3 linked regions of the Arabidopsis thaliana genome follow. The protein of the gene in region 3 interacts with the protein of the main gene of each other region in a pairwise test. Each region holds a gene or a part of one and is shown on either strand. Other genes may lie near its edges.

Evidence for each region.
Region 1: the proteins of ARR11 (region 3) and NAC063 interact in a two-hybrid assay, tested with the Arabidopsis thaliana proteins (one large-scale study listed by BioGRID).
Region 2: the proteins of ARR11 (region 3) and HB51 interact in a two-hybrid assay, tested with the Arabidopsis thaliana proteins (one large-scale study listed by BioGRID).

The regions. Positions count from the first base shown.
Region 1 is NC_003074.8:20,461,386-20,471,864, reverse strand, and holds NAC063 (NAC domain containing protein 63), read right to left. Parts: upstream 6,771-10,479; 5' UTR 6,651-6,770; coding exon 6,473-6,650; intron 6,375-6,472; coding exon 6,076-6,374; intron 5,991-6,075; coding exon 5,625-5,990; 3' UTR 5,446-5,624; downstream 1-5,445. Other genes in the region: AT3G55230 (Disease resistance-responsive (dirigent-like protein) family protein), read right to left, coding at 1-41; SAP130b (Cleavage and polyadenylation specificity factor (CPSF) A subunit protein), read left to right, coding at 921-3,935, 4,033-4,524, 4,612-4,749; SAP130a (Cleavage and polyadenylation specificity factor (CPSF) A subunit protein), read right to left, coding at 7,504-7,641, 7,729-8,220, 8,318-10,479.
Region 2 is NC_003076.8:999,334-1,010,290, reverse strand, and holds HB51 (homeobox 51), read right to left. Parts: upstream 5,510-10,957; 5' UTR 5,307-5,509; coding exon 5,189-5,306; intron 4,637-5,188; coding exon 4,281-4,636; coding exon of another isoform or gene 4,173-4,280; exon of another isoform or gene 4,152-4,172; coding exon 3,918-4,151; 3' UTR 3,660-3,917; downstream 1-3,659. Other genes in the region: AT5G03795 (Exostosin family protein), read left to right, coding at 1-217, 689-930, 1,645-1,993, 2,072-2,737; TRFL10 (TRF-like 10), read left to right, coding at 9,344-9,430, 9,685-10,601, 10,684-10,756, 10,840-10,957. UniProt on the Arabidopsis thaliana protein: Putative transcription factor.
Region 3 is NC_003070.9:25,373,913-25,385,419, forward strand, and holds ARR11 (response regulator 11), read right to left. Parts: upstream 5,306-11,507; 5' UTR 4,994-5,305; coding exon 4,885-4,993; exon of another isoform or gene 4,804-4,884; coding exon 4,651-4,803; exon of another isoform or gene 4,617-4,650; coding exon of another isoform or gene 4,577-4,616; coding exon 4,187-4,576; intron 4,083-4,186; coding exon 4,006-4,082; intron 3,919-4,005; coding exon 3,082-3,918; 3' UTR 2,767-3,081; downstream 1-2,766. Other genes in the region: AT1G67700 (multidrug resistance protein), read left to right, coding at 383-655, 1,047-1,184, 1,283-1,369, 1,494-1,541, 1,658-1,800, 1,892-1,898. UniProt on the Arabidopsis thaliana protein: Transcriptional activator that binds specifically to the DNA sequence 5'-[AG]GATT-3'. Functions as a response regulator involved in His-to-Asp phosphorelay signal transduction system.

The sequences.
Region 1 (10,479 bases), on a different chromosome or scaffold from region 3:
AAGAGAAAGAGAAAGATTGTAAGGCTAAGAGCTTTGGCCATTGTTCTTTCTTTTTGTTTTGGTTTTAGGTTTGTGTTTATTTTCTAAGGCTAATGGGTTTGTTTATATAGGAAGCGCGGAGGATGATGAGATCATGGAGTGGAGTTGTTGTTGTTGTTATTGTCGTTGCATTCTCATACTCTAGTTGATTAATGGATTTAACTAAACCTCTAGGTTTTATTCATTTTAATTTGCTACTTACTCCTCTTGCTTCTTCTAGCCTTCTTGATTTCTTTGACCTATTTTTGTTTCTTTCTATCTATTCGTTAGAAATTAGAATAAATCATGTTAAGAAATTAAATGGAAGAGAGATCTTAATTAGCCATGTTAATTTCATACATAAGTAACATAATTATATTTGCAATATTAACCAATCACATAATTATGCAATACCACTCTATTTTTGTGACTTCACAAATTTAATGAGAGAAAATGTTGTCATTCTATAGTTTATCTTTATATTAAGTTCAATTTCTTGTTTCCACCAAAAAAAAAAGTTCAATTTCTTGTAATCAATTTTTGTTAATGAAAAATGATAATCGGAGACAAAACCAGTCTTGGACTCTTGTCATTATTTGGGCTTAAATCTAAAATAAGATGGGCCAATATTGCTATATTAGATCCAAAAGTTAGGCCCATGATTGAATCACCGCCTAGCAGAGGAACACCACTTCCGTCGTAGAGCTTTGGAGCTATGGCGGTAATTCATTATATAGGGTTTATTCTTTCCGTTCCTCACCAAAATCTGCCAAATCCGAAGTTGCAGATGCGCTAGGAGTTCACTTAAACTCGGAGCCAAAACCATCCTCAAGTCCTTCCAGTTTCGGGGATTCTCCTAAATCCTAGCCGTTGCTGGTGGTTGTAGCTTGCTAGTTTGAGAGATGTATCTGTACAGTCTTACTCTGCAGCAGGCGACCGGAATCGTCTGCGCAATCAACGGGAACTTCTCCGGCGGGAAGACACAGGAGATTGCGGTAGCTCGTGGCAAGATTTTGGATCTTCTCCGTCCCGACGAGAACGGTAAGATCCAGACGATACACTCTGTAGAAGTATTTGGTGCAATTAGATCCCTAGCTCAGTTTAGGTTGACTGGTGCGCAGAAGGATTATATCGTAGTAGGCTCAGATTCGGGTAGGATTGTTATACTTGAGTACAACAAGGAGAAGAATGTGTTCGATAAAGTTCACCAGGAGACTTTTGGCAAGTCTGGTTGCAGAAGAATTGTGCCAGGCCAGTACGTGGCTGTTGATCCCAAAGGAAGAGCTGTTATGATTGGAGCTTGTGAGAAGCAGAAATTGGTTTATGTTTTGAACAGAGATACCACTGCTAGGTTAACTATTTCTTCTCCCTTGGAGGCTCACAAGTCTCATACCATTTGCTATTCTCTCTGCGGTGTGGACTGCGGTTTCGATAACCCGATTTTTGCAGCCATTGAGCTTGATTACTCCGAGGCAGATCAGGATCCTACTGGCCAAGCCGCTAGTGAGGCTCAGAAGCATTTGACTTTCTATGAGCTCGATTTGGGGCTCAACCATGTCTCTAGAAAGTGGTCTAACCCTGTTGACAATGGTGCCAATATGCTTGTTACTGTTCCTGGAGGAGCTGATGGCCCGAGTGGAGTTTTGGTTTGCGCCGAGAATTTTGTTATTTACATGAATCAGGGTCATCCAGACGTGAGGGCTGTGATTCCTAGACGAACTGATTTGCCTGCTGAACGGGGAGTTTTGGTTGTTTCTGCCGCCGTGCACAAGCAGAAGACAATGTTCTTCTTTTTAATCCAGACTGAGTATGGCGACGTTTTTAAGGTCACCTTGGATCACAATGGCGATCATGTCTCCGAGTTGAAGGTTAAATACTTCGACACCATTCCCGTCGCATCCTCTATATGTGTGTTGAAGCTGGGATTCCTCTTCTCTGCTTCGGAATTTGGAAACCATGGTTTGTATCAGTTTCAGGCCATAGGAGAGGAACCTGATGTAGAGTCTTCCTCCTCTAATCTGATGGAAACCGAAGAAGGTTTTCAGCCCGTCTTTTTTCAGCCTAGACGACTTAAGAATCTTGTTAGGATTGACCAAGTCGAGAGTCTGATGCCGCTCATGGACATGAAAGTCCTAAACATTTTTGAGGAAGAAACCCCTCAAATCTTTTCACTTTGCGGCCGGGGTCCACGATCCTCTCTAAGGATACTGAGACCTGGTTTGGCCATCACTGAGATGGCTGTCTCTCAGCTTCCAGGTCAGCCAAGTGCTGTGTGGACGGTGAAAAAGAATGTGAGCGATGAGTTTGATGCATACATCGTTGTCTCTTTTACCAATGCTACTCTTGTTCTTTCGATTGGTGAACAAGTTGAAGAAGTTAATGACAGTGGGTTTCTTGATACTACCCCATCCCTGGCTGTCTCTCTGATCGGCGATGATTCTCTCATGCAAGTCCATCCCAATGGTATCCGCCACATAAGGGAAGATGGACGCATTAACGAATGGAGAACTCCTGGCAAGAGGTCAATTGTTAAAGTTGGGTATAATCGGCTTCAAGTGGTCATTGCATTGAGCGGGGGAGAGCTTATATACTTTGAGGCAGATATGACTGGCCAGCTGATGGAGGTGGAGAAGCATGAAATGTCTGGTGATGTGGCTTGCCTGGACATTGCCCCTGTTCCTGAAGGAAGAAAAAGGTCTCGCTTTCTTGCTGTGGGATCTTATGATAATACTGTGCGCATTCTATCTCTGGATCCTGACGACTGTCTGCAGATTCTCAGCGTGCAAAGTGTCTCTTCAGCTCCGGAGTCTCTGCTATTCCTCGAAGTTCAGGCATCGATTGGTGGAGATGATGGTGCTGATCACCCGGCAAATCTCTTCCTCAATTCTGGGCTGCAGAATGGTGTTCTTTTCAGAACTGTGGTGGACATGGTGACTGGTCAGCTTTCGGATTCTCGCTCCCGGTTCTTGGGGCTGAAGCCTCCCAAGCTATTCTCCATTTCTGTGAGAGGCCGGTCTGCAATGCTGTGTTTGTCTAGCCGACCTTGGCTTGGTTATATTCACCGGGGACACTTCCATTTGACGCCTCTGTCTTACGAGACTCTGGAATTTGCTGCCCCCTTTTCATCTGATCAGTGCGCTGAAGGTGTTGTCTCTGTCGCTGGGGATGCTCTGAGAATTTTTATGATTGATCGTCTTGGTGAAACATTCAACGAAACAGTGGTCCCTCTGAGGTACACGCCTAGAAAGTTTGTTCTCCATCCCAAGCGGAAGTTGTTGGTTATTATCGAGAGTGACCAGGGAGCATTCACCGCAGAAGAGCGTGAAGCTGCAAGAAAGGAGTGCTTCGAGGCTGGTGGAGTGGGAGAAAATGGCAATGGCAATGCAGATCAGATGGAGAATGGTGCGGATGATGAAGATAAGGAAGACCCGCTTTCTGATGAGCAGTACGGTTATCCAAAAGCAGAGTCTGAAAAGTGGGTCTCTTGCATCAGAGTTCTTGATCCCAAGACAGCTACGACAACTTGTCTCCTGGAACTTCAGGACAACGAAGCTGCATACAGTGTCTGTACGGTGAATTTCCATGATAAAGAGTATGGTACACTGTTGGCTGTTGGTACGGTCAAAGGGATGCAGTTCTGGCCCAAGAAGAATCTAGTGGCTGGGTTCATACATATTTATAGGTTTGTGGAGGATGGGAAATCTCTTGAGCTTCTTCATAAGACGCAAGTAGAAGGTGTTCCTCTTGCTCTGTGCCAGTTCCAAGGAAGACTGCTGGCAGGGATCGGACCTGTCCTCAGATTGTATGATTTGGGGAAAAAGAGACTGCTTAGGAAATGTGAAAACAAGCTCTTTCCAAACACCATTATCTCTATCCAAACTTACCGTGACCGTATATACGTTGGTGACATTCAGGAGGTGAGTGGTAGATCCTTTTTCCTATATATTTTACTTACTACTGTGTGCTTTGTTTTATAGAAATATCTCATGTAGCCTTTTCATTATCGTTTTGCAGTCTTTCCATTACTGCAAGTACAGGCGCGACGAGAATCAGCTGTACATATTTGCGGATGACTGCGTGCCGAGGTGGCTGACAGCATCGCACCATGTGGATTTCGATACCATGGCAGGTGCAGATAAGTTTGGGAATGTGTATTTTGTGCGGTTGCCTCAGGATCTGTCGGAGGAGATAGAAGAAGACCCGACTGGCGGGAAGATCAAGTGGGAGCAAGGAAAGCTGAATGGAGCACCGAACAAAGTGGATGAGATAGTACAGTTCCATGTTGGGGACGTTGTGACGTGCTTGCAGAAAGCTTCGATGATCCCAGGTGGATCGGAATCGATAATGTATGGAACAGTGATGGGTAGCATAGGGGCATTACATGCTTTCACATCCCGTGATGATGTGGATTTCTTCTCTCATCTGGAGATGCACATGAGGCAGGAGTATCCTCCTCTCTGCGGGAGAGACCACATGGCTTACAGATCTGCATATTTTCCGGTCAAGGTAATAAACCAAAACCCATTTGCTTTTCCTCCAAATCAAAAGAAGTCCCTTGATTTTGAATTTGACACTTTTTGCATCTTGTAACAGGACGTGATAGATGGAGATCTGTGTGAGCAGTTCCCGACACTCCCAATGGACTTGCAGAGGAAAATAGCAGACGAGCTGGATAGAACACCTGCGGAGATTCTGAAGAAGCTCGAAGACGCAAGGAACAAGATCATTTGATAACACACGAAAAGAGAGAGAGAGAGTCATTGTTTTGTTGAAGGACAAAGTAGAGAGTAGAGAAGAAAGAGGTTATAATAGATTTTGTAAAGCTCTTCAATGGTTTGTTAAACAAAACCCCGCTCTTGTGAAAACTGATGAATTAATTGCAAGTTTACTTTTGAATCTACAACAGCATGAAACAGTTGCACCGGTAAGGTTTCTTCCATATTCAGGATTCCTAGTAGCTATGGTAGTTCTTGATTCGTTCATGAGAAGCATTGAGAATTGTGAAGCAGCAGACAAGTGGGAGCCTCGCCTGTCTCAACAAAAGATCAGGAACTGCAGACGAAGAGATCTGAGTTAATTCAGAGGCTCTTAACACCAGCCATTCTCGTTGAGAGCAAAAACAAAGATTGAGGATGCAGGTGAGCTAAATGTTTTGTTGAAGGACAAAGTAGAGAGTAGAGAAGAAAGAGGTTATAATAGATTTTGTAAAGCTCTTCAATGGTTTGTTAAACAAAACCCCGCTCTTGTGAAAACTGATGTAACAAAGTCCAAATTTACCTTTAAATCTACAACTTTGTTTAGAGTATATTTAGTTAGGCTTTGAAGAAACTTATTTGTTGGTTTTAAGATCTAATGTATTATATAACGAAAATCTTTAACCCACCCACAAATCAAAACACAAATTTTTTATATTTGGGTAATCTGAAACTGGAATACACCGGTGTTTTATATCTATATCTGTATGTGTTAGTTTATAAGTCTAAGACGCTAAGAAAATGTTGGACAAATTGAGTATAAATGTTTTATATCAAGGCATCAAAAGCAATAAAGACAGGGAGAATTATCTCTGGTTTTGGAGAACATTGCCGATAGAGGAAAGAGATCAATTAGCATCCTTTTCCTTGGTCTGGTTGATGCAAATCCAGCTGCTCAACGTCTTCTTCTTTCTTCAGCTTCTCATTATGCGGTTGCTGATTCTCCATATCATGAGGCTGCGGTTGATAAGAATCCAGTGGGCCTGGACAAAACTGCTGCTGTTGATACGCCAAATCATGAGGCTGCGGTTGGCAAGAATCTAGCGGTGCTAGCGGTTGATGATACTCGACATTACAAGGCAGCTGCTCTTCCAATGCTTCCACAGGTGCAACTGAAACAACGGCTTCTCCTTTCTTCTGCTTCTTCTTCTCTTCTCCCACTTCTTTATTCATCTTTGTTGCTTGTGGAGTAAGATAGATCTTGCACAAAGTGTAATCCTAGACGCACAACAAAAACAAGACTCAAAACAGAATCCAAAACTTGAAAACCTAAATAACTTGGGAACCAAGAAACACTTCTTACCTTGTCGTTGTTGTGAGAAGAGTGATCAAGAGAGTATTCTTGCATTAACCAATCAGTTTTGACGCCTTCTGATGGTTTCCCAACGTAGTATGCCAGTGGCCTTTTGTTGCGAACGACACCATCTCCAGCGTTGATCTTTTGGGCAGCCACTGTTGCGTGCCAATATCCTCCGTTAGTGTCGACACGTTTCTGCCTTTTCGCACCATAACCAACTCTCTTTGTTTGGCTTAAACCTTGATCAACTTTGTTCCTCTCCGTTATAATAAACCATTCTTTATCGTTACCCTTCTGGAATTCCTCTGTTTCAAAAATATATATATATAGATATATGTTAATAACTTAATAAACTAAAGAATTCAACTAAGTAAACAATACATATGGACGGAGACAAGTTAACCTGAAAGTGTTTGTGGATTCGACTCGTAGATATTGACGAGATGAATAGGAACATGGAGCAATACGTTCGTGTTGCCGTCCGAGTAAGGTTTCAAGTAACAATGGATGACTTCTTCATCGTTTGGCACAAACTTAAAACCTGGCGGTAATACGTAAGCTATCGTCGACGGAGGAGACATGTTAACAGCTGCCAAAGAAGACAAGAAGGAATCTCTGACTGTGGTTGCGTTTGCGGTTCCGGCCAGGATCTTTCTTTGCGCTTGTTTCTTCCAGGCATCGTCATCAAGTAACTTTGGAGCTTTGACAAAAAGAAAAGTATGTTTCGTAAGAGATATAGTTAGTTTAGTTAGTTATATTGTCTCTTATTTATAAGAATGTAATAAGACGGTGTATATAATGATTTATAAAATTTATCGAATTTGAGATAATATGGGATTCAGATAATATCGGATTTGTTGAAAATCAATTTGTGATTGAGATTTGGAAAAGGAAAAGTTTCATGTTTAGCTAACAAAGTTAACAAAGAGATAAATGTTGATTACAGAAAATGTGAAATAATTCTTTGTTTTTGTATCTTACCAGGTACTTTTTAAGTCTGATGTTGCAGAAGATTCATTTAGCTCACCTGCATCCTCAATCTTTGTTTTTGCTCTCAACGAGAATGGCTGGTGTTAAGAGCCTCTGAATTAACTCAGATCTCTTCGTCTGCAGTTCCTGATCTTTTGTTGAGACAGGCGAGGCTCCCACTTGTCTGCTGCTTCACAATTCTCAATGCTTCTCATGAACGAATCAAGAACTACCATAGCTACTAGGAATCCTGAATATGGAAGAAACCTTACCGGTGCAACTGTTTCATGCTGTTGTAGATTCAAAAGTAAACTTGCAATTAATTCATCAGTTTTCACAAGAGCGGGGTTTTGTTTAACAAACCATTGAAGAGCTTTACAAAATCTATTATAACCTCTTTCTTCTCTACTCTCTACTTTGTCCTTCAACAAAACAATGACTCTCTCTCTCTCTTTTCGTGTGTTATCAAATGATCTTGTTCCTTGCGTCTTCGAGCTTCTTCAGAATCTCCGCAGGTGTTCTATCCAGCTCGTCTGCTATTTTCCTCTGCAAGTCCATTGGGAGTGTCGGGAACTGCTCACACAGATCTCCATCTATCACGTCCTGTTACAAGATGCAAAAAGTGTCAAATTCAAAATCAAGGGACTTCTTTTGATTTGGAGGAAAAGCAAATGGGTTTTGGTTTATTACCTTGACCGGAAAATATGCAGATCTGTAAGCCATGTGGTCTCTCCCGCAGAGAGGAGGATACTCCTGCCTCATGTGCATCTCCAGATGAGAGAAGAAATCCACATCATCACGGGATGTGAAAGCATGTAATGCCCCTATGCTACCCATCACTGTTCCATACATTATCGATTCCGATCCACCTGGGATCATCGAAGCTTTCTGCAAGCACGTCACAACGTCCCCAACATGGAACTGTACTATCTCATCCACTTTGTTCGGTGCTCCATTCAGCTTTCCTTGCTCCCACTTGATCTTCCCGCCAGTCGGGTCTTCTTCTATCTCCTCCGACAGATCCTGAGGCAACCGCACAAAATACACATTCCCAAACTTATCTGCACCTGCCATGGTATCGAAATCCACATGGTGCGATGCTGTCAGCCACCTCGGCACGCAGTCATCCGCAAATATGTACAGCTGATTCTCGTCGCGCCTGTACTTGCAGTAATGGAAAGACTGCAAAACGATAATGAAAAGGCTACATGAGATATTTCTATAAAACAAAGCACACAGTAGTAAGTAAAATATATAGGAAAAAGGATCTACCACTCACCTCCTGAATGTCACCAACGTATATACGGTCACGGTAAGTTTGGATAGAGATAATGGTGTTTGGAAAGAGCTTGTTTTCACATTTCCTAAGCAGTCTCTTTTTCCCCAAATCATACAATCTGAGGACAGGTCCGATCCCTGCCAGCAGTCTTCCTTGGAACTGGCACAGAGCAAGAGGAACACCTTCTACTTGCGTCTTATGAAGAAGCTCAAGAGATTTCCCATCCTCCACAAACCTATAAATATGTATGAACCCAGCCACTAGATTCTTCTTGGGCCAGAACTGCATCCCTTTGACCGTACCAACAGCCAACAGTGTACCATACTCTTTATCATGGAAATTCACCGTACAGACACTGTATGCAGCTTCGTTGTCCTGAAGTTCCAGGAGACAAGTTGTCGTAGCTGTCTTGGGATCAAGAACTCTGATGCAAGAGACCCACTTTTCAGACTCTGCTTTTGGATAACCGTACTGCTCATCAGAAAGCGGGTCTTCCTTATCTTCATCATCCGCACCATTCTCCATCTGATCTGCATTGCCATTGCCATTTTCTCCCACTCCACCAGCCTCGAAGCACTCCTTTCTTGCAGCTTCACGCTCTTCTGCGGTGAATGCTCCCTGGTCACTCTCGATAATAACCAACAACTTCCGCTTGGGATGGAGAACAAACTTTCTAGGCGTGTACCTCAGAGGGACCACTGTTTCGTTGAATGTTTCACCAAGACGATCAATCATAAAAATTCTCAGAGCATCCCCAGCGACAGAGACAACACCTTCAGCGCACTGATCAGATGAAAAGGGGGCAGCAAATTCCAGAGTCTCGTAAGACAGAGGCGTCAAATGGAAGTGTCCTCGGTGAATATAACCAAGCCAAGGTCGGCTAGACAAACACAGCATTGCAGACCGGCCTCTCACAGAAATGGAGAATAGCTTGGGAGGCTTCAGCCCCAAGAACCGGGAGCGAGAATCCGAAAGCTGACCAGTCACCATGTCCACCACAGTTCTGAAAAGAACACCATTCTGCAGCCCAGAATTGAGGAAGAGATTTGCCGGGTGATCAGCACCATCATCTCCACCAATCGATGCCTGAACTTCGAGGAATAGCAGAGACTCCGGAGCTGAAGAGACACTTTGCACGCTGAGAATCTGCAGACAGTCGTCAGGATCCAGAGATAGAATGCGCACAGTATTATCATAAGATCCCACAGCAAGAAAGCGAGACCTTTTTCTTCCTTCAGGAACAGGGGCAATGTCCAGGCAAGCCACATCACCAGACATTTCATGCTTCTCCACCTCCATCAGCTGGCCAGTCATATCTGCCTCAAAGTATATAAGCTCTCCCCCACTCAATGCAATGACCACTTGAAGCCGATTATACCCAACTTTAACAATTGACCTCTTGCCAGGAGTTCTCCATTCGTTAATGCGTCCATCTTCCCTTATGTGGCGGATACCATTGGGATGGACTTGCATGAGAGAATCATCGCCGATCAGAGAGACAGCCAGGGATGGGGTAGTATCAAGAAACCCACTGTCATTAACTTCTTCAACTTGTTCACCAATCGAAAGAACAAGAGTAGCATTGGTAAAAGAGACAACGATGTATGCATCAAACTCATCGCTCACATTCTTTTTCACCGTCCACACAGCACTTGGCTGACCTGGAAGCTGAGAGACAGCCATCTCAGTGATGGCCAAACCAGGTCTCAGTATCCTTAGAGAGGATCGTGGACCCCGGCCGCAAAGTGAAAAGATTTGAGGGGTTTCTTCCTCAAAAATGTTTAGGACTTTCATGTCCATGAGCGGCATCAGACTCTCGACTTGGTCAATCCTAACAAGATTCTTAAGTCGTCTAGGCTGAAAAAAGACGGGCTGAAAACCTTCTTCGGTTTCCATCAGATTAGAGGAGGAAGACTCTACATCAGGTTCCTCTCCTATGGCCTGAAACTGATACAAACCATGGTTTCCAAATTCCGAAGCAGAGAAGAGGAATCCCAGCTTCAACACACATATAGAGGATGCGACGGGAATGGTGTCGAAGTATTTAACCTTCAACTCGGAGACATGATCGCCATTGTGATCCAAGGTGACCTTAAAAACGTCGCCATACTCAGTCTGGATTAAAAAGAAGAACATTGTCTTCTGCTTGTGCACGGCGGCAG
Region 2 (10,957 bases), on a different chromosome or scaffold from region 3:
ATTCATGGTTCCTCTTGTTGTCATTTCTGGTTTCGTCTTTGTAAATATTGGTCCTAAAGATTCAACTTCTTTATTAACCTCTCTGTCCACTACTACTTCTCATCTTCCTCCTCCGTTTCTGTCTACGGCTCCGGCACCGGCGCCATCTCCTCTGCTACCGGAGATACTTCCCTCGTTGCCAGCATCATCTTTATCGACTAAAGTGGAATCTATTCAGGTTAGAGAAATTACTTAGGAATACCTAAATTATTCCTTTCTTCATTCTTCATCTTTGCATGTCTTTTTTCTTTTCCGGCTATTTTATTTATTTCTTTTCTGTTCTTATTTGTTACTAACAAATACTTATGTTAATGTTTTACCAACAGATATCATAACATTTATGTTTTAAATTCCGTGGTCAAACTACAGTCAACTGTAAAAAATATTTTGTCAACTAGTCAAATGTGAATTTTAATTCGTTTTTATTAAGGACGAGAGAAGCAGTCGCATCAAAACCGCAAAATAAGAAAGCAAAGATTACAGTTTTTTTATATATGTAGGGTCGGGTGATATAAATTTGAACTAATTAATCAACTAACTAATGTTCATATAGTTTTGATTTCTTTTAAAGTGATTTATTTACTGATATGGAACCATTCTTTAATTTCATTTATGTACAATAGTCTAGAGAATAACAATGATTGAACAGGGTGATTATAATCGCACAATTCAACTGAATATGATCAACGTTACTGCAACGAGTAATAACGTCTCTTCTACGGCATCATTGGAACCAAAGAAAAGAAGAGTTCTTAGCAATTTAGAGAAGATAGAATTCAAGCTACAAAAAGCTCGAGCCTCCATTAAAGCCGCTTCGATGGATGATCCCGTGGACGACCCGGACTATGTTCCTCTTGGTCCTATGTATTGGAACGCTAAGGTCTTTCATCGGTAAGTGAAATGAATAATTATGTTTACTTTCTATATTTATTATTCTGAAGTTACTGCAATTTGGATTCGCTAAGAATGTATCTGAATTAAATTTAAGTTACACGGTTTGGAACTGTGAATTTATTGGTTCGTCAAAAATGTATTTGAATTAAATTAAAGTCAAACAGGTTGGAAACTATCAATTTATTTGAATTAAATTGAAGTCATACAGGTTGGCAGTGTGAATCATAATTATGGCTTGGAACTGGATTTACTTTTTACTAAATTGATGGGGAAACCTGGCCAGGAAGTTTCAATTAAATTTGAGTTACGTTTTTAGTAGGTTTTTATATTTAATTTCTTGCTAAATACTAGTAGTAGTTTGTTTCCATTAAATTAGTAAATGCAATAGATTTGTGGTGTCCCATCTTATATGCGTAGCGTAAGCAGAGCAAGGAATCACATACCTTATTTTTTTGGAGGGCTAAATTTCTAAAATCAAAAATATTATTATTGGCCCATCTTACATGGTTTAGCAAAATAAGGTAACCAATGATAGCGTAACTTGTTGATTGATCTTGAAAACCATATTAACTTAGACAAGACATTCGAGCATGTGCACAAAAATGTTTTCATGTGGTCTAGAGTAGAGAGTGAAACAGATTTTCTTTTGACGATTTGCTAACACTACCATGATGTGGTTACAATGTTTTGTTTATGTATTGAAATGTTTAGGAGTTACTTGGAGATGGAGAAACAATTCAAGATATATGTATACAAAGAAGGCGAGCCACCGTTGTTCCATGACGGTCCATGCAAAAGCATCTACTCTATGGAAGGAAGTTTCATCTATGAGATAGAAACCGATACACGTTTTCGGACCAATAATCCCGACAAGGCTCATGTTTTTTATCTACCATTTAGTGTCGTCAAGATGGTAAGATACGTGTATGAACGAAATTCCCGCGATTTCAGCCCCATCCGAAATACAGTCAAGGATTACATCAATCTTGTGGGTGATAAATACCCATATTGGAACCGCAGCATCGGAGCCGATCATTTCATACTTTCTTGTCACGATTGGGTACGCTATAACAATATATTTGGCTTATATCTTCTGGTTAGCTAGTTATCGTTATAATCTTGAAATTTTTTGGTATAGGGTCCTGAGGCAAGCTTCTCTCATCCACATCTAGGACATAATTCGATTAGAGCTTTGTGCAATGCCAACACGTCAGAGAGATTCAAACCAAGAAAAGATGTGTCGATACCGGAGATCAATCTAAGGACGGGATCCTTAACTGGATTGGTCGGTGGACCGTCACCTTCCAGCCGTCCCATCCTCGCCTTCTTTGCAGGGGGTGTACACGGACCGGTAAGGCCAGTCTTGCTCCAGCATTGGGAGAACAAAGATAATGACATTAGAGTCCACAAGTATCTCCCTAGAGGAACGTCTTATTCTGACATGATGCGGAACAGCAAGTTCTGCATTTGTCCTAGCGGTTATGAGGTTGCGAGCCCGAGGATCGTGGAGGCACTCTACTCGGGTTGCGTCCCGGTTTTGATAAACTCAGGATATGTTCCTCCGTTCAGCGATGTACTGAACTGGAGATCGTTCTCGGTGATCGTTTCAGTGGAAGACATACCGAATTTGAAAACGATATTGACATCTATATCGCCGAGACAGTACTTAAGGATGTACAGAAGAGTGTTGAAGGTAAGGAGACATTTTGAGGTGAATTCTCCGGCTAAGAGGTTTGATGTGTTTCATATGATTCTTCATTCGATTTGGGTGAGGAGATTGAATGTGAAGATTCGTGAAGTCTAAGTTTTGTCAGATTTTTTTTGTTTGTTTGGCGTGTGTAACGAAAAATAATTGAAAAGTCCCGGGATTGTTTGTGTGTGTGTGTAAAATTATAATTGGGCGTTTTTCTTCATTAATTTGTAATAAACAAATAATAGTTATATTTGCATATTTTAATATGTTAACTTAAAAGTTTACAAATAATCAGGCGTCAAGGAACATTCGAAGAAGAAAAATAGCTTGTGCACTGAAATACTGTGACGATATAATTAGGCGACTTTTTGGTGTTCATATACTAATACTCTGTTAATTAATTAATTTCAATTGAATTATTTTAGTTATTACTTATACATGTGTTCAATGTTTAGGATCAAGTATATTTCAGTTTAAAGACAGCTATTCGAAGTTGGTTTGTAAAATACTAAAATTGGTTCAAAATTTGATTGGCCCATTACAAGTTACACATCTTACCAAACTTTAAGCTCAGATTCACTGACTCTTAGTTAGGCCCAAAATAACTCCTGACTAGGCCCAAACAAACTAGCAACGACGGTTCCAAATATAAACAATGGAGTGGCAGCTTCGTACTACTTCTGATCACTTTATGGCTTTTGCGTCTGATGTTTTATCAATATGAGACAGTTATTGGAATACTGTCAAGGTTACAATTTTTATGATCTCTGATTCGAAATGTAAAGTTCTTAAATATTTAACAACTAAAGCCTTCTTCAATCAAAGCTTACCTGGAGACAGTCATGTACATATAAAGATTAGCTTTTTACCAAGCTACAACACACACACACACACACACACACACAAAGCCTAAGCAGCTTTTTTTTGCGTCAAGAGGTCTCAAGTTCGGTGAAGGGAAGCGGAAAATGCTGAGCATCAGTGTCAAGATTTGTACAATCTCGTTTACTCTCGTCATTATTTTGGTTTATAGCTAGTTTTGTTTCGGACATTCGCCAATTCTGAGTGTTCATAGTATAGTTGTTCAACAAAACCAACTCAACAATTTTCAGACTCAATCTCGCATCCAAGAACGTGCCATTTATGTTTTAAGATCGTACAATGAGAGAAAGCTTGTCTTAGTCTATAACACTACTAAAGTCCTAGTCTAAAGCTCTATTTGACACAATCTCTCTCTCTCTCTTTCTCTCGTTCTCTCATTCTCTTTCCCTCTCTCTGAGATCAGCAACATCTATCAGGGGTATGACGGCCAGCCAGAGGAAGCAACCAGCATCGGATTGTTGTATTGACCGTAAACTTGATTCCCTCCGGTGATTTGATTTGCGTTCATATTCTCCGTTCTTGGATGAGCTACCACCACCGATGAAATCTCCACCGTGTCTTCCTCACCGGAAACTTTGATGGTCCCGGCAGAGATTTGCTTCTTGATCAAACCCTGGTCTCTTAGTAAAGCTCTCAGCTTCTTCACCTGCACCACCAATCCAATTTTTTAAGGGGGGCAATCTGATAGAATCAAGACTTTAAGGGATAAATTAAGAAAACGATAATATGTAATTAGATCCCATGATTTTAATTTTGTGCAATATAATACACAAACCTCATCGTGTAACATTTGTTTCTCCCTAGAAACGACGTCGTACTCTTGTCTAAGCGAGTCGTACAACTGCTCAAGCTGCTTCGCCTTCCACCGTGCACGGCGGTTTTGGAACCAAACTGCTATCTGACGTGGCTGCAGACCGAGCTCTCTCGACAGCTTCACCTTCCTGTCTGAATCTAATTTGATCTCTTCTTGAAAACTTCGCTCAAGTGAAGCTAATTGTCCACTCGTTAGTCTCTTCTTTTTTATCATCTCATTGTTGTTGTTCGGAAATCGGTACGCATTCATGATCTTTTCTGATTCCGGTACAGAGATAACCGGTCCGGTTTGTGTATCGCCAGGCGTATATGAATTTCCTGCTGTTAAACATTTTAGCAAACGCCCCGAAAGGATAAAAGGAAATATTTAAACATAGAAGCGCAACAATATAATCATTATACGAAAAAAAAAAAAAAAAAAAAAAAACTTCCAAAAGTATAAGAAGAATAAAATTATGTCCGCAACCATTTTTCTTAGAGTGAACTATACCATAAACGAATCTCAACTTTTCAAAAGTGACGTTTTACCTTTTTGCATTTGGATCCCAAGAAATTGTTTTTGTAGGATCCCAAGAAAAAAGTAAGAAACTTTATTTATAGATATTGTAGACTGAAGATAAGAAAATCTTAGCTTCTCATCAGAAAAGTAACGTTTTAGTTGACATTTGGAATGAAGTTTAGGGACGTCATATTTGAAATTCTTTACATCATTCACAGAAAAAAAAAAACTTCTTGAGAACATTTGCAAGTGGGATAAATAAGGTTTTAAAGTTCATGAATTCGTCAAATATGGAATTAAACACATCTAAAAGTAAAAAAAACGAAAGCATGTAACATATGCAGACTTGGTACGATGGTGTGTGAATATACCTGCGTAAGGATCAAAGTTGAAGCTGTGGAGCGAGTTAAAGGAACTAGACTCCGGCCATGGCGGTGGCATGAAAGCTACTCTCACGTTTTCTACGTTGCTCGTTGTTGACCACTCCATCTCCTTTCTTTCTTTTGTAGTTCTTGTGAATATCTTAATATATATAAGAAGACATGAGAGATGGTCTATAAGGAAGAAAGATATAGGATCTAATACAATGGATAAAAGAAAGAAAAGAAAATTAGGGTTTTATTGGACCACAAGGGAAGGGGTAAGAGAGGCGTGACAAGAAGTTTCTTCTTCTATGTACTTTGTCTTTTGGAGGTGTAACAAAGTGTGAGAGCACGCAGTGTTCGAAACAATACATATATAAATAGGGATATGTATCTAGAGGGAGATATAGAGGTGTAGTGAAAGAGACAGAGTGAAATTGTCTGTGTTGTGTGAGGTTTTTTTCACCTAATAAGGGAGCAACCCAACAGTACCTTTTGTTTTGGAATTTAAAGATTGAAAAGGAAAGTGTGATATAATTTTGTCTCATTTGCACATCATCAATCATCATCCATCATCTCTCTAACATTAATATAGGTTGATATATTTTGTTGTGTCCAAGGGTCAAACTTGGAATTTTTAATTTATTTTCGGGAAACTGTTTTTTCTTTCGTATTAGTTTTTTTATAATATATATACTATCATGACACCTAATCTACTTGTTTATGTCAATATTATCGTTGCGCTTTTTCGATAAACATACAAATTGTAACAATTTATAGTGTTACAGAGTTTGCAAGATGATGTGAACCAACCAAGACAATACATGTTTTAGATTTAAATAAAATTGATTTTGCTACAAAATTAGAGGTTTTGATAATATCATATTTTTTGAAGAAAAAACAAACAATCTTGAGCCTTGTGTGAATGCACCAAATATTCCTTTTGAAAATCTAGTGTAAACCAATAAATGGTAAATCAAAATCTGCATGGATTAATTATATTTGACGGAATTTCTAAACTTGGGACTTTTTAACATTCACATAAATCTACTTGTGGCCTTTAACATTTAAACCACCGTCTTAATTGACTGAATTTTATAAACATGGAAACATAAATGTAGTTGAAAAGAAATTGATGAGATTTTATATATAAATATATTGTAATTTCGTGTAGTAATATAGGTGGGGGTACGTATTTGTCAAAGTTAAGCTTAAATAAGTGAAAGAGAAAGAGTGAAACGAAACTAATGGTCCCCCAAAAACTCCATAAAAACTGACAATGTGGTTCCCCCCTTCTTTGGTTATGCCTTCATTCTTGGTCCTAAGATTTTCAGTTATTGTTTTGTCTTATATATACACCATCTAAATCTACTTATATATATGTGAAAATTAATGTGCAAAAGGTTTGGCACTAGTGGCAAGTCCATACCAATGTATATGTGCAGTAACCTGTATAGAGTATATAGGGTGAGGCCAAAAGCTACCTTTGAAAGCTAAGAATCAACACAGAGAGCTAAGTAGATCATCTATAAATAAAGAGTCTGATATGACCAATAAAAGCCAAAGCAAAGAAGAAGTTTGAAAACTAAGTCTCATTGTCTTCATCTACTGTGTACTCTTTACCCCCACATTCTTTATTAACTTGCAGTTCTACACACAATCTCTCTCCCTATATCTCTCTCTCTCATATTCAATTGCTACTTAACAAATTGTTGATGTGTAAATAGTGTAAGAGATGGAGAGAGAAGGGTAGAGAGGGAAGGAAAGGAATCTTTTTCTATGTTAAAAGTAGATAGGGTTTGAACAGATTGATGATAAGTAATGAGATTTAAAACTAACGACAGTGTATAAGAGAAAAGGGAAGCTTTTAAGCCTAAACCCTTGAAAGAGATGAGACATCACAGTTTTCATAGTGTATAATTTTTTTAAGAATATTTTTATGGTTTTTTTTCGATGATTGCATTCATTGTAAAGGATCCGTTTGATAACAACATTTCATACTCTATTTTCTTAAAAAAATAATATGCAAATTTCACTATTTTAGCTAAGACCCTACGTAAAAAGTCTTCGATATGGACCAAAAATAACGTGTTTTTAACTTTTAAATGTTTACGTGTTACGCCAATATATATATGGTTTTCCTTGTCTGGATTAAATGAGAAATAAGACCGATTTGTATTCGAAATAAACTAAAATTAAGACCCATAAAATCATTTAGAATCATCATTCAGCTTGAAATTCCATTTCTTTCTTATCCGTTTTGTCCTATCGCCACTAATCCTTTTAACTTTTTGTGTATTTAATTATACATTCACATACGAAAATATATAATGTAATATTTATTCATAATTTCGTATACATCTTTATTAGAATAGAGCTAGTGATGAAGTTATAGGGTTATATATTAACTCTTCGAGTAGTAGATAATGTTAAGAACCAGAAGGTAATTAGTTGGGTTCATGATGAATGATTTCACAGAATCTTAAAAGTTAAAAGCCTTTTGTTAATACTGTCAAACAAATTAAATAATATCCGAATAAAAACTTTTAGCAGAGTCTCACTCTCATCTCCATGCATGCATTAGAAAAAAAAAAAAAAAAAAAAAAAAAAAAAAGAGGAGAGCCAGAACTAAAAACTCAGATATTGAGGAGAATCCAACATGTACAGGTATAATTCACAACTAAATTCCTTTGTTATTGTTCTTTGAGAATTGAGACTTTCCCCAAATGATTTCATTAGTTTTTATATAACATACACGATTTCATATAGACGACAAAAATAAAAATAAAATTAAAAAGACGATTTCATTTAGATCCATCAGTTACTAAGATCGGTAATCAAGAAAAAGGTCCCCCCTTCTTGGAGGAGCTAAATTTACTTGTCACATTATAGTAAAATGTAGGGACTTTATAAGGAATTAGAAGTAAGAACTTATATTATATAACAATTGAATTCCAAGTATTTATGCTATATATACGATATAACTGAGAATTGCTTAATGTGAATATGAAATATATAATGTGAATTATACATTTACTTTTTTATTTTTTTGATGGGTTTTGTTGGGTTAAACTAATTACCACCCTCACATAGATAAATGGGATAGTAAGATTTATTACACCACCATTAAATAACTCTAGAACTGAAAAGGTAAAAATATTGTGAAGAAGGCTAAAGATGAATATAACAGTGAAGGTTAAAGTTGGTACAGTGTCTCCTTTTTCACTATTAGTTTCAAAATCGTAAATACGTAACAATTAAATCCCGCCGTTAAAGTCAGACACTAATTTAAGACCATATTTATAACATTCATTTTACAAATTTTAATTGTTGCTATGCAAATTGACCAGACATATATAGTAACAAAAAAGGTAAACAAGTTCCATAAGACTAACCCACTTATACATTGCAAGTTTATTACTTACAAAAGTCAACAATATTTTAAAATTTAGTTAGCTACAATCTTCTTTTAACTTAATTGTTGAAGGCTTGTGGAACTAAAATGGTCATGACTCATGAAGACCTAACACATATGTAGAAGAAAGAAACCCTGTTTTATGGCGTATCAACTAAACTCTCTGTTTTTTTTCCTTTCTATAATAACTAGCTTAGTAGTTTCATGATTTAAAAAATTAAATATATTTATTATTTTAATCTCATTATAGTAAATATTTATATGTGTTAAAAAAAAGTAAATAATTATTATGATGAATCATCCGACATATAGTCTCTAGTATATACATGTGTATGTTTTATGCGTCAAAAAAATATGTGATTTATTTTCAAGAATTTAAGTCAATTAAAAAGAATCATTTACGAATGTAAAACTTTTCTGTTAATGAATTATGATTTTATATATTGATTACACTATTGTTTAAAGTTGAAATTTTAATGTCAGTAAATATATAAAAATTCTAAATAAATAAAAAAAAGTTAAAATATATTTTTGATTCAATATACATAAAATTTTGGGTTATCCGTATAATTAATTAAAAGGTGAATTGACTTCTTCTATATTTGCTAAATTTATCACATAATACTTTTTTATTTTGTTTATTCATCCATCTTCCTCAGTACGCTTCACAATTGAGAAGAGACACTCTTCACTGTTCATATAACGTCCCCATTGTTGAATTCGAGAGTGCCAATTTTAAACCGAGACTGATGATTGAGAAGAAACTGTCGAAGATGAAGATGAGAACCAAATCGATTCCGGTTAGGTCTTCGCGCAAATCCCTCGATTCGCTTCTGGTAAACCTATTTCTTCCCTTCGTCTCTATTTGCTTCTCGGAACAGTCTCCTTTAGAATCGGAAAACTAGAGCTTGTAATTTCCTGGTGCAGCTACATGACTGATTTTGGTTTTGATTTTGATTCGTATGTTATAATCAAAGCTTGTTTTGGATTCTGTGTGATTGTGGAGGTTGAATTTTAAATTTGGAACTCGCGAAATAGAAACTGTTACGGTTGATGTATTTGTGAATGATTTCTGGTCATCCTTTCACAGGATGATGAAGCTAATGAAAACACACAATGTGATGAAAGAGATGTGCCACACAAGAAGCGTCGTTGTCTTGGGACTAGTGAGACTACTGATAGAGGAGGATCTGTAGAGCCGCTGCTGGACTTGGATGCTTGTATTGTATGTGAAGTTTCAGACGAGCGGGTATCTCGTTGTTGCGGGGTTGACTGTCTTCTTTCGTTTCACGGCGAGTGTTTGTATGCTGATTTGGGTAGTACTAGTAGTAGTAGTAGTAGTAGTAGTGAGGATGTTTCGAATCCATTTTGTCCTTATTGCTGGCTCAAGATTGTTGCACTGAAATCCAAAACATTGAGAGAAAAGACCGTTGAGGCGGAAAAGGCGGTCTGCAAGTATCTAGATAAAGAGATGAAAAGCAGGGATGAGGATATAACCTTATCTGGTGATGAAATTGGAAACCAAGAGCAGAGTACAGACATTGTAAGTGATCATGAGTTACAAGGAGAGAAGGATGGCTGTTCATCAAAACCAGATGCGGATCAAGGGAAAGTGGGTACTGGTAAAGTGATTGACGAAGTTGGAGCATCAGAGAAGGTAGCTACAGAAAAATTTCAAGACGCTGAAGATGATGAAACAGCTAAAGATCAAGGTACAAGAATCCTGAATACAGGTGCAGGGAAAAAGAGAGAGGTTTCTTCGTTTTTGTCTATGCAAGAATCGTTTTCAGCAAAAGAACAGGACCAGGTCCAGCAGAATGAGAAGCGAAGAAGGAGAGGATTGAAAATTATCGATAGTGACATCTCATCAAAGGGATCAAGTAACGAACGAAATGGAGAAGATGTAACTGAGCAGGTAACTTCATCGGTTCAAGTAACCTCCCCGTCAGGGAGAATGAGGAACCAGCAGGCAACAACCAAAGTTGTGGCTAAGTCAAAGACAGTGAGGTTGTTCCTTTTTCTTCACTCACTGGAACATCAAGAGTTCATTTCCACATTAAATTTAGAAAGTTACCTCACGGATTTGCAGGGACATTTCTTTCTTTAAGATGGATCAAAGAAGGAGGCTACTTTGGACGTACGAAGAAGAAGAGATGCTAAAGGTATATACCAAACCTACACTAGCTGTATTTTCATGAATTGAATAAGAATTGTTGTTGATATATGTGTTGGTTGGTTGGTTCAGGTGGGAGTGGAGAAATTTGCAGCAGAAGCAAACAAGAACATGCCATGGAGGAAAATTCTGGAAATGGGAGAGAAGGTGTTCCACGAAACACGTACTCCAGCTGATCTCAAGGACAAAT
Region 3 (11,507 bases):
TTACGAAGAGTTATATAACATAGTGATCATCATTGAGCATGTACGGTGTTGAAGATAAGGACTTGTCTCGATCAATTTACAAGACAGATTCTAATATTATGGTTTTCTTCTCTTATTAAGACAAGAATAGTATTGTCTTTTTGGTTTACTTTGGAAATAGGATTGTAACAGGCCTTAAAGGTAAGTAGTTTCAGACATACGTAAAAGAAAAGAGTTTCAGATTACCTTATGAAGTACGGTTCTGGTTCGGTTTAAACTGGTTTGAACACGTGGCAGGTACAAGTAGATAAGGTACGAATCCACGAAATCATCATCTTCCCCAAACCAAATAATCTCTCGTTTCTAAACAAACTAGTGGTGAGTGAATCTTCTCTGGTGAGTAATGGAAGTGAGTATGTCTTTGAATGCGTTAACTCGGCTTCCTCTGAAGAACACAGGAAGATTCGAAGAGGTTGGTTTAGCGAGACACTCTCTGTTTAGCTCAAGAACGGCATGCCGAGAGACGGCGGTACAGCAGCGGCGGATGGTTTTTGTGGTGGAGGCTAAGGGAAAGAAAGGTATGGCGGCGCGTCAGTATCAACGTACACCTCCTCCTATGCCTAAGATTGAAGACGATGGAAACCCAAGATTCGTTATCTTCATTCGTATGGCCAATGTTCGTCTCTTTTCCACTCTTTCTTCACTTAGCTTGGATTAGGAGATAATTAAACGCTTAAACATGTTAGCTTTGCTTTGGTTCTGTTTCCAAAGTTATATACTTTTTTCAATTTGATACTCCTAGACCAATTATTAGATTGCAAATCATCTGGTTTCATCAAATTTGGATTTTTCAACATTTCAGCTCTTTGTTCTAGTACGTGTTTGTTTATAACATGAATTAAAATTGTTAGCTTGATTGGTTTTGTTTGCAAAGTTATGTACTTTCTTTCATTCGATCCTTTTAGATCAATTATCAGATTGCAATTGTGTTCTGGTTTCATCAATGCGAGTGTTCTTTTCAGCATTTTACTTTTTGTTGTAAAAAGTGTTTCTTGTGACGTGAACAGGTGTATCTTTGGTATCCTCTGAGTATAATAGCTGGTGGTACTACTGCTAAGATCATGGTTGCTGCAAAAGATAACCTCTTGGGGAAGTATATCTACAAAGACACCATTGCAAGAAACATTGCCGCTGTTATTTACAGAGTAAATTACACAAGCTTCTGCTTATTCTTGTGTGGTTGATTCCACTATTAATATGTGTCTCTTTAGATGTTATTTCTAATTGTTTTTATCTTCAACAGGATGAGAAAGAGATTCAAAAGACAGCAATTAAGCAGCATCGTGTCTTGCGTACAGCCACCGAGTTTCGATATGGCTACAAACTTGTAGTAATGCTCTCAAAACCCTTTTTCTTCAGTTATTGGAAGCTCTGCTTCATTTTGTAGTTGATGAGACCGTAGGAAAAGTTTTCTGGTTTCGTTTTCACTTATTATGGCTGTATTATACATTCAGGAAAACGGAAACATGAGAGCTGCACTTAGTACTTCAGATGTTATTGAGGTGAGCTATACTTAACTACATGAGATCAGCTCTCAAACTTCCTACAGTGACACCAAAAGGATGCTGTTATAGATGTTTTGTCTGAAACGTTTGTGTTTTGTCCTGAACCATCGCAGCTCCCAACCCAGGACCAGCTTAAAACAGTGTTCGACAAAGTTAAAGACTACTTTGGGGATGCAAAAGAGTCATTCGGAAAGCTATCATCGCTGAACCCGGGGAGTGACGAAAAAACTGAAGAAACCTCGGATGAGAAAGCCAAGTAAGTATAAACAGGTACTGAATGTTTCTTCTTTTCATTTTCACTAGAATTTTGGTGTTTTTCACCAAAATGATATACAACCGTTTTACAGGGCCTGAGGCTGAACAATTGACACTTGGTTGGTTGATTTTGATGTCTCAACCGTCTCGGTATGGGCTGCAGAAGGTCACTGGATATGACGAGACTACCGCTATTTTGTGCACATTTTCTCTATACATCTCTCACAGAAACAGCTTCTGTTAAATCTCTTGTAACATATAACTTATTGTGTATTGTAGATTTGTTGAAAGAAAGAGCCATTGGTTACAACTTGCAATTTCAACTTTTCTTAGACATTGGTCAAACAATAGTAGTCGAAAATAGGAAAACTTCCCACTATATCTTTCGAAGAAACCCTTAACTAGAACTGTGAACAAGATATGCAAAAGCTTCGTGAAGGTGAGAGCAAGACCATTTGCAGAGATTTAGTAGAATCTCCCTGATTGCTCCAGTAGGTAAAAAATCTAGTTCTGCGCAGTATTGGCGACATCTGACTGTCCGAACATTGCAATATGGTGTGTGTAGCTTCATAAATTGTTTGTTATGAATAAATTAGAGCTTTGTCAGGTAACTAATCCATTGCCTGCATAGAAAGATGTTAGATAGTTCAAAACTCTGAAGTTTCCCATCTTGGATCTGGTGGCAAGTGGCAACTGTTAGATATCTTCGATGTAAAACGTTTCCCGTAACACTCATTTGTATATCTGCTCTAAGATTGTGAACTCTCACATTATTTGATGATAAGGTTATGGGACAGATTCTCAACAGATAAAAGAACATCACATGTGGCAACTGTTAGATATCTTCGATGTAAAACGTTTCCCGTAACACTCATTTGTATATCTGCTCTAAGATTGTGAACTCTCACATTATTTGATGATAAGGTTATGGGACAGATTCTCAACAGATAAAAGAACATCACATGTGTTGGAGTAAGGAGGTAAAATTCCTAAGTTTTGCAATTAGATTCAATGTGTAGTAGAGATCTTTTTTTCATGATATGACATGCAAACTAATTTCCTTCCAGGTGACAGTGAAGATCTTAAGCGACGGTGTGAAACATGTGGCCTTATCACTGTCATCAACCTGTTTGGTGTAATTAGCCTACGACACTCGTGGATTATTGTACAATGCATCCGATCATGGAAGGTTCTTGGGAAAGCAAGATTATTTTCAGGTATACCCACAAAATCTTTCTGCATTACACCAACCAATATACGAAAAGAAGTTATTGGAACAAGGTTAAGATATGAATAAACCTTGGTCTACCATGAAGGAATACTCGTCAGGGTCAGGCAGCCGCTCATTTCCATACCAATTAAGGTGGGCTGGGAGCTCAGATAGGAGTGATGGGCTACTACTGTAATCTTGAAACTGGAGTCCGGTGTTTGCAAGAAAACGCTCGCCTTGAAGCCAAGTCAAGTCTAAGTCAGTGTCTAAAGAAACAGAATGATGTGATTCTGGAAGTTCCCAGTTCAAGCTTCTCAGAATCGCCTCTGTGTTGAACTCCTGCAGCTTCATGGCAGAGGGATCCAAATCTTGAAGGGTTACAGTAGGGATCTTGTCTTGTGGCATGAGAAACTCATCTGCATTCACACTACTGCCTCCTGCTGGTGTCTCATAAGGAGGCTTCATTTCCTCCTCCATGAGAGATGGTGCAGAATTTGCAACATAGGAACTTTGACTTGGCAATGGTTGTTGCTGGAGAAAGCTATTCTCATACAGAACCGGCTTCGATTCAAGGACCTCTGGAACATCATTCCAAGGAAGCAGAGAGTCAAACGCAGAGGAGGAAATGGGAGGATCAAATCCTATACGCGTCTTTTTTGTTTTCGGAGGCATGATCACATCGGTGTTGAGGTCAGACAAAGAAGCTGAAGCAAGTGGCTTTGGATCAATCTCTGTTGCTTTTTGGATCAGAGAATTTCCTCCAGAGAATACATAGCTGCTCCTCCCAGGGCTTTGGTAGCCTGAATTCACTTCGACATCTTTTGGAGATGAATCCGCATTCTTCACGCCACCTGAATAACACTTGAGCTCCTTTCCTTTCTCTAATCTGCTCAGGTAAAGTCTATATTTCTACAAAAACAGAACAAAAAAAAAGTGACGAAAAGCTTAATCTAACACTTGTTCTGAATAATGATGATGACAAGGTAAAGTTTTTACCTGAAGGTGGCTTGCAACATTTTCTCTAGTGAGCCATGGAACATTCATGAGATCCAATATCTTCTTGGGACCAGCTTCTGCCAAACAAGAGACCGGAAAAAATTTCACGGCTCTATGAAGACATGATAATAAAGGGAGGCAAGGGGACATGATAAGAAACCAAAGTCGCCAACGTACTTACTGTGATCGCATCCGATTTGGTTAACGGCGTTGACAAACTTATGATGAAGCTCAAAAGACCAAACAACTCTAGCTTTCTTGGAAGAAGAAGATGATGGATCACTCTCATCTTGAAGAAGCTTCTTCTCAAAGTCAAAGTCTTTTCTCTTTTTCCCAAAAGAAACATCTTCACCACCTCCAAGAAAATGTGCTTCATCGTATCGAGTGATCCAATCCGCTCCTCCTTCGTATCCACAGCCTTCGATATCTCTCACTTCTTGAAGCTTCTTTCTCAGAACATGTTGCCATATAATCTTTAACTCCTTCATTCTTATCGGCTTCAAGAGGTAATCACAAGCTCCGTGTTGCACTCCCTTCATCACTCGGCTTGTTTCGCCGTCCACCGACATCACTACAACGCAAAACACACAAAAATCAATAACCTTTTTCATTTATTACACAACAAGTCAAGATCTTTCTTCTCACTTATTACAGGGAGGTCTAATTCAAGACCAACATGCTCAAGAAGCTTGAAACCATCCATGTCAGGCATGTTCACATCGCTGATCACGATATCATATCCATCTTTACGCTCCCTCAGCAACCTCAAAGCCTCTCTAGCTAATCCACAGGTCGTTACTGCAACATAGGAAAGTAAGGAGATATTTTAGTAAATCCAACTGTTGGGGAAAACATAAGATAGAAGAAGAAGAAAGAGACCTTCGTAAGAACACTTCTTGAGCATTTTCTCGAGAATCTTGAGCCAAGTTGGATCATCGTCTACGACAAGAACCCTTAGACCGACGGGAGAGAAGCCGCTTTTCTCCATGATCGCCGGCGAAAACAAGAAAGAGAGAGAGAAAGAAAAAGAGCAGAGAAAGTGGCGAGAGTTCTTTTTTTGGAAAGGAGAAAGTGGGAGTGGGTTTTTGTTTGCGTTTTATTATGAAACGACGACACTTCAAATATTTTGGCGTAGTTTAGATAACGGTCACCATGGCGTATGTTAGGTTTTATCTCCCGTCGTACTGGAATTTCCAAATTTCTCTCTGTTTTTAATTTGAAAACGAGGCTATAAAATATTAATTTATTTGTGGATTACTTTTGAAGAAGGAATTTAGTTCGGTCTAAGTTCACTGCCAAAAAAAAGTTGTTGAAACTCTTTTCTCTCTCAATTTGTAAGTTGACGTCTCTCACTGCTCCATAATCCCATATTCTTCCAATAATTTAGCTTTTCAAATTGTTCTTAAGATATTGACATGATAATATTGTGGATTATATCACCTTTTTATAGTTATTCTATAAAACTAAAATAATTATCTTCTACACTCTTTGGTATTTTATACGTAAATATGGTGATCGTATTTAGATTTAAACTTCTATATTTATGGGATCGTATTCAGAGTGCATCATCATTTTATCATGTAAAAATATTGACAAAACACACACAAGCAACTCTATATATAATGCAGTGTCTTGCTTAGATGTGTGCAGGGCTAGGACAAGTTTATAAAATGTGGCTATCATCATAGTTTTTAAAAATAATCATAATACTGAATCGGAAAAAATATTAGTATCAAAAACTTACAATGTAAAAAAATCAATAATACGTTATTCTTTTTGTTTTTATATGTTTTTCTAATAATGTTATTTGTTTTAAATATTTATATTTACTAATTATGATGTATTACTAAATGATTCTTACCAAAAAAAATATATTACTAAATGATGTGTTTTCAAGATAAGAAAATGGTCTATAGATAAAGGTATAGTTAAGAATATAATTTTCACGAAAAAAGTTTCATTTTAACAATTATTTGTTATCAAAATAACAAAATTGATAAGCTTATTATTTTATAAAAATTTGGCCTTTAATTTAAACTTTTTTTTTGGCTTTAGGCATTTGCCTTTTTGCCATAGGGTAGTCACGGCTCCTATATAATGCAAAGTTTTACATGTATATTAGTGTGTCTGATAACCTAATGTTAAATTAGATTTAAAAAACTATCGTTCATACATCAAGAACATAATGTGTTTGAGAAAGCTTAAAAGTTAAAACATTATGTCTCAAAATTTTTAAAAAATCAGCTTCTCGCCGCAAACAACTTAAATTACATATATGCATGCAGCATGTACGTCACGTCTAACACAAAATAAACTCTTTAACTAGTGAGGTTTCTCGACTCGGTTTAATAATGCTCGTAAATCATCAAATCCTTAACAAGTCGATGTAATGTTTAACCTTAATTAAGGCTTAAAATGTTTGATCTTTGACTCTGAAAGACTTTCAATGTTTGATCTTTGACTATAAAAGACTTCAAATGTTTTGACCTTTATATTCTATTGAAAGAAAATAAGTAGAAAGACAAAAGAATAAAGGAAAATGGTACACAGCTTGTCATGCACAAAGCTTTTTTATGGATAAGGACGTGGCCCGTAGAGACTTGACAAAACACACAACATATATACTTCCTCATTAATTTCTATTATTATATACGTACAAGACAGCTAACTAATTGCACAAACTTTTTGGCCATGATAAAAAAGAATAACGCATTATAGATTTAGAAACAGTGTCGTTGTTTGGGAGTTTGTGGATTTGCACAGTACACTGGCCATGTTTCTGTTGATGGGATCAGGGACGAGGTTTGCATGTGACCTGCATTTAAATAGCTAGTCTCACTTTCATGATTACTATTTCATTACTGTCCAACTTTCATATCATATATTATATATTATTGAGATGTAGAATGAGAATCAAAGTCTATCTAATATACTGTAAGAAACATGTAAAAATGTCTAACAAATTTATGGTAATTCAGTGATTAAAAACTGCGAATATTGCACAAAATCTTACGTATATTTTTTACAGTGCCGGCTCTAGGGGAGTGCTACAGGAGCAAAAGCACAGGGTCCTCAAAAAAAATTTCAATTTTCTTTAAGGTTTTAGGGTCCAAAAATTTTAGAAATTAAAAACCAATATTAACTAAAGCCAGTTTTTATAAATCAGCACAAGGTCTTCAAAAAGTTTGAGCCGGCCCTGATTTTTTACCAAAAAAAACAAAAAATGTTACGCATACTTTTCTAACATCTTTTTGATTGTACAAATTGTTTTCAAAATAGGTCGAAAAAAGTAAATATAAATTTCCTTGAATCGGAATCTTCCGACTAACATAAAAATTAAAATGTCTCTCTTTATCTAAAAAAGAGAAGAAACAAAAAAATTATTCTGCTTTAATTTTGAGTGAGTTAATGTTTTTTTTCAGAGTTGTGGTCGCAATATGTTTGAGTTTGGTATCATGCAACACAACATCTATCGTCAAAGAGATGCATGCTTACGACTTTATTTCCTTTCATCAAAACGTAACTTGAGTTACTTATTTTTGTCTATTAATGTTAAAGAAACATATGATGCGCCAACATTATTTTTAACTCACCTTAACAAAGCCATTCTTCATTTGTTGTCGACGTTACGGCAATGTGTTTTGCGTAAAGATGGGTTATCACTTCATTACAAATCTCATAGAATTAGAGAATGTGTTCTACATATCATTAAAGCTTATCAATGGATCGATCTATATATGTTTCAAATGCAAATTCGTTAATTTCATTTGTTGTCTCTCTACATCAAAATTTGGCTCACATCTTTCAAAAGTGTGCTAAGATATGAATCCCACTCTTTCATACTGCCATGGCTTAATTATTAATGTTACTAAATATCCTAACCTCGGCGAAAAGAAAATCTACGGATTTCACAAAACGTAGAAGACGTATTCGCTCAGGGAAGATAAAGGAGCTCTACGTGACCAAGATAAAACATTGGGTTTGTGTTTCTACTCGTGTTGTGGATATATTCGTCCATAGGTTAATGGAATATATGTTTATATAGAATAGACATAGAGAGGTTATAATAAATGCGCCACAAAAGATGCACTAAGGTTGGATTAGACCCACACAATAAAAAATAGGGCTCGTGAGTCATTTTCCCCAATCACCTGCCGACATTTGACACTTGTTGTAGTCAAATTGTAAATCCATAAATTTGTGTAATGTCGCAATTTTGTTGGCTCGTGGCGTCACGCGCTGCTTTGGAACATTAATCTTTAATTATGTGCATGTAAATATCAATGCTAGTGCTTTAATTATCCCTCTAATTATTGGGTAGTATAAGTATAAAACCACTACCAATAACATTAATCGTCCCTTTAAGTGAAGTTTCTCAGTACTTTATTTCACGATTTTATATTGTTTGATACTATAGTAATTGAGTAATATTAAGAAAAGTATAATAATTGCAAACCAATGAGTGTGTTAGTGCATCCTATTAAACGGGTGTGACATCCACCTCCGTGACATATGAACTTATGTACACTGTACACACCAACAATGCCTATTGGTGTATATGTGTATATATATATTATTTATGTACAATTACTATATTAATACATGAAAATGAGTTTTGTCTATGCATTTGTGGATTACAAATTTTTCTATCACAAGAATTACTACTTTCCTATTTTTAATACATATGATACATAACAAAATTCCAAATTTATCTGTTTAAAATCTAAATGAAGTTAACTAGCTAATACTATGATGATAATGTAGCAGAGGTCAAGAAAAAAATGAAGTTTACTAATTTGAGAAGAAAAAATCTATACTAAGATCTTAAATTGAAACGATAAGATATATAATTAGACATTTACTTTTATTTCATGTATGTGAAAACTCTAAAACAACAAATTTTGTAAAATGGAATAAAGTACTATGTAATTAGATTAAATAGTTAATGCCAGCACTAATTAAAGCTATACGTCTCAAACCCAATATAAGTTGGGAAGAAACTTATCAAATTATTATATACTGAGTAAATAAATGTGTAACGAATAAAAGCATCAGAAATTCTGTAATGTGCCTTTGCAATTATAACTAATCTACCATCTAACACTCCAATGATTCATTGAACCATTTGCCCTACTACCCTAGTAACCCTACCGGTATACTCCAATAAGATATTTTACGACATTTCAACCTTATGTACCTACTTAAACATATTTTCGATGTTAAAAATAAATGGAAATCTTTCACTGTTTCATTTTATTAATTCTTTAACGACTAAGTATGTTTTGACAAAAAAAAAAGACTTATTACGTAATCTAATCGTAGATTGCAAATGGCTAAGGCTTATTTTGGAAGGAGAGGACTTGGTTCATATATGGAACGACTTTCATGGAGCCAATGATAGGCACATTATAATTCTTTTGTCTCTAAAAGTCTCCATAATCATTTGGTTACCACACACCAAAAAAAAAAAAAAAAAAAAAAAAAAAAAAAATTGAAGCCGCACATGAGACCTTTTCGAAAATATATTAACTCAAACTTCTCATTTAAAAATTTCATTTGAAAACAAATATGATATTTTCATAAATATTTTTTATTTTTTTTATCATAGGTCTAAATTCATATACAAATTTAGCATATATATTTAAAGGTGTGTATATCTAAATTCTTGCAATCAAATTTGTTTTGTTTTTCGATCTAAGTGGTTTGAAGACAACTCTCAGTGTTCTCTGATTCTTTCTCAAACAAAGTTTAACCAAGAAGACTATATAAAAATTTGAAGTCGTTTTCAACTTAAAAAATGGATTGGCTAAAAGGTGAAACTTTTGAGAAGTAGGGGAGAGAATGAACTTTATACATTCAAACAAGCATAGAAATTTCAAAATGATCCTCAAAATTATTAATATTATAATAAGTATTAGGAAAAGTAACTAAATGGAAAATGCCCACTAACAAAGTACTTTATCCCACAAGGAGAAATTAACAAATATTTTACGAAAAGAAAAAGATGTATATGTATGATTGGTGTCCAACAAATTAGAAGGATCAAGATTAACTTCGTCCTTCTTATCTTTTTGGCGGACACTTTCGCCTTCTTCTTATTCTTAATTTGATAAAATTATGTCTCTTAAAATATTTAAGTTTCTACAAACACCTTTAAATATACAATATAATAAAGTAGAATGTCTATATAAAATCTCCTCCTACGATACTTCATGTTATTTGATTTTCACCATTTTATTCTGTCTTCAACTTCTATTTTTAATGCTTTATTAATAGATTGGTATAGATACCTGATATTGATGTATAACTCATTTTACTATATATATAATACTACTAGACAAAATATCTAGAAAGCTCAAATGGTGCAAAAATTATATATGAAAAAGTCTTATTTTGTATAAATGGTGTACTGCATGTTTTCTTTCTTTTTATCTCTTTATGAAACTTGTTTCTTACAAGAAATATGTAGCAAGCAATATACGAAACTTTGATCGATATTGTTTACTTTGAGGTTGATAATAGAACTTAAATAAAAAATTTAGAATTATAATACTTTCCACTCCGAAACTCATATGTAAATATGTTGGTAAATTCAATATAGAAGTGTGAAAATGCGTAATATAGTGATATTGTTTTATAAAAATACTTAAAATTCTCTCTTAATTTCCAAAACCATTAAAATAAAATAAAAACATACCATTATCACTCAAATTTCATATCAAAGGTTTTTTTAAAATCAAAATTAGTAATAAATACTAAAAGTTTTAAATAATATTGGAATAGATTTCGTCTGTCAAGTCCACGAGAGATCTCTAAATACTTGATCTTGAATACTAATTCATCTTAGAGGCCCTAGAATTAGTAAAAGCAGGAGTGGCTAACGCATCAGTCATCTATCAAGATACTGGTGAGCAATGAGACTTGTTATGCACCCCTCTCGGCATGGTACAAAACACATAATTATTTGATTCATCTAACATGTTCGTTCTTGTAGTGATATTATAGACGCTAGTGTGCTTATCCATCCCGTGTATGAAACCGGTAAATATATGACTACGAATAAAACATTATACACTTTATACAAAATCTATCATAATCGGATCCCCAATCTTAGGAGAATATTAATACTCCATACTCATAAAACTCACCTAAACACATAAAAATTTGTTGGGTGTCTTTCATAACTTTCTCTTGACTTAAGTGTCGGAGATTAATTAAACGACAAAGGATTGTCCTTTACGTGGTACATGTTTATCTCTTGTTCAGTGTATCGTCCACATTCACGAGAAGCAAACACAATGCAGATGTCGAAAATTTGGCAGGAAGAACTATCTTTTTATATTAAACTTGTAGGAGCTTTTCCAAAACATAATGTTTGTGGTTTTTTTTGAATATATATATTCTAAAAGTCGATCACAAAGTTTTAAAACTAAAACATTATTTTTTTGATTGGTGATATATATAATTTTGTGTCCGACACCTTAATAGTATTTAGTAATATA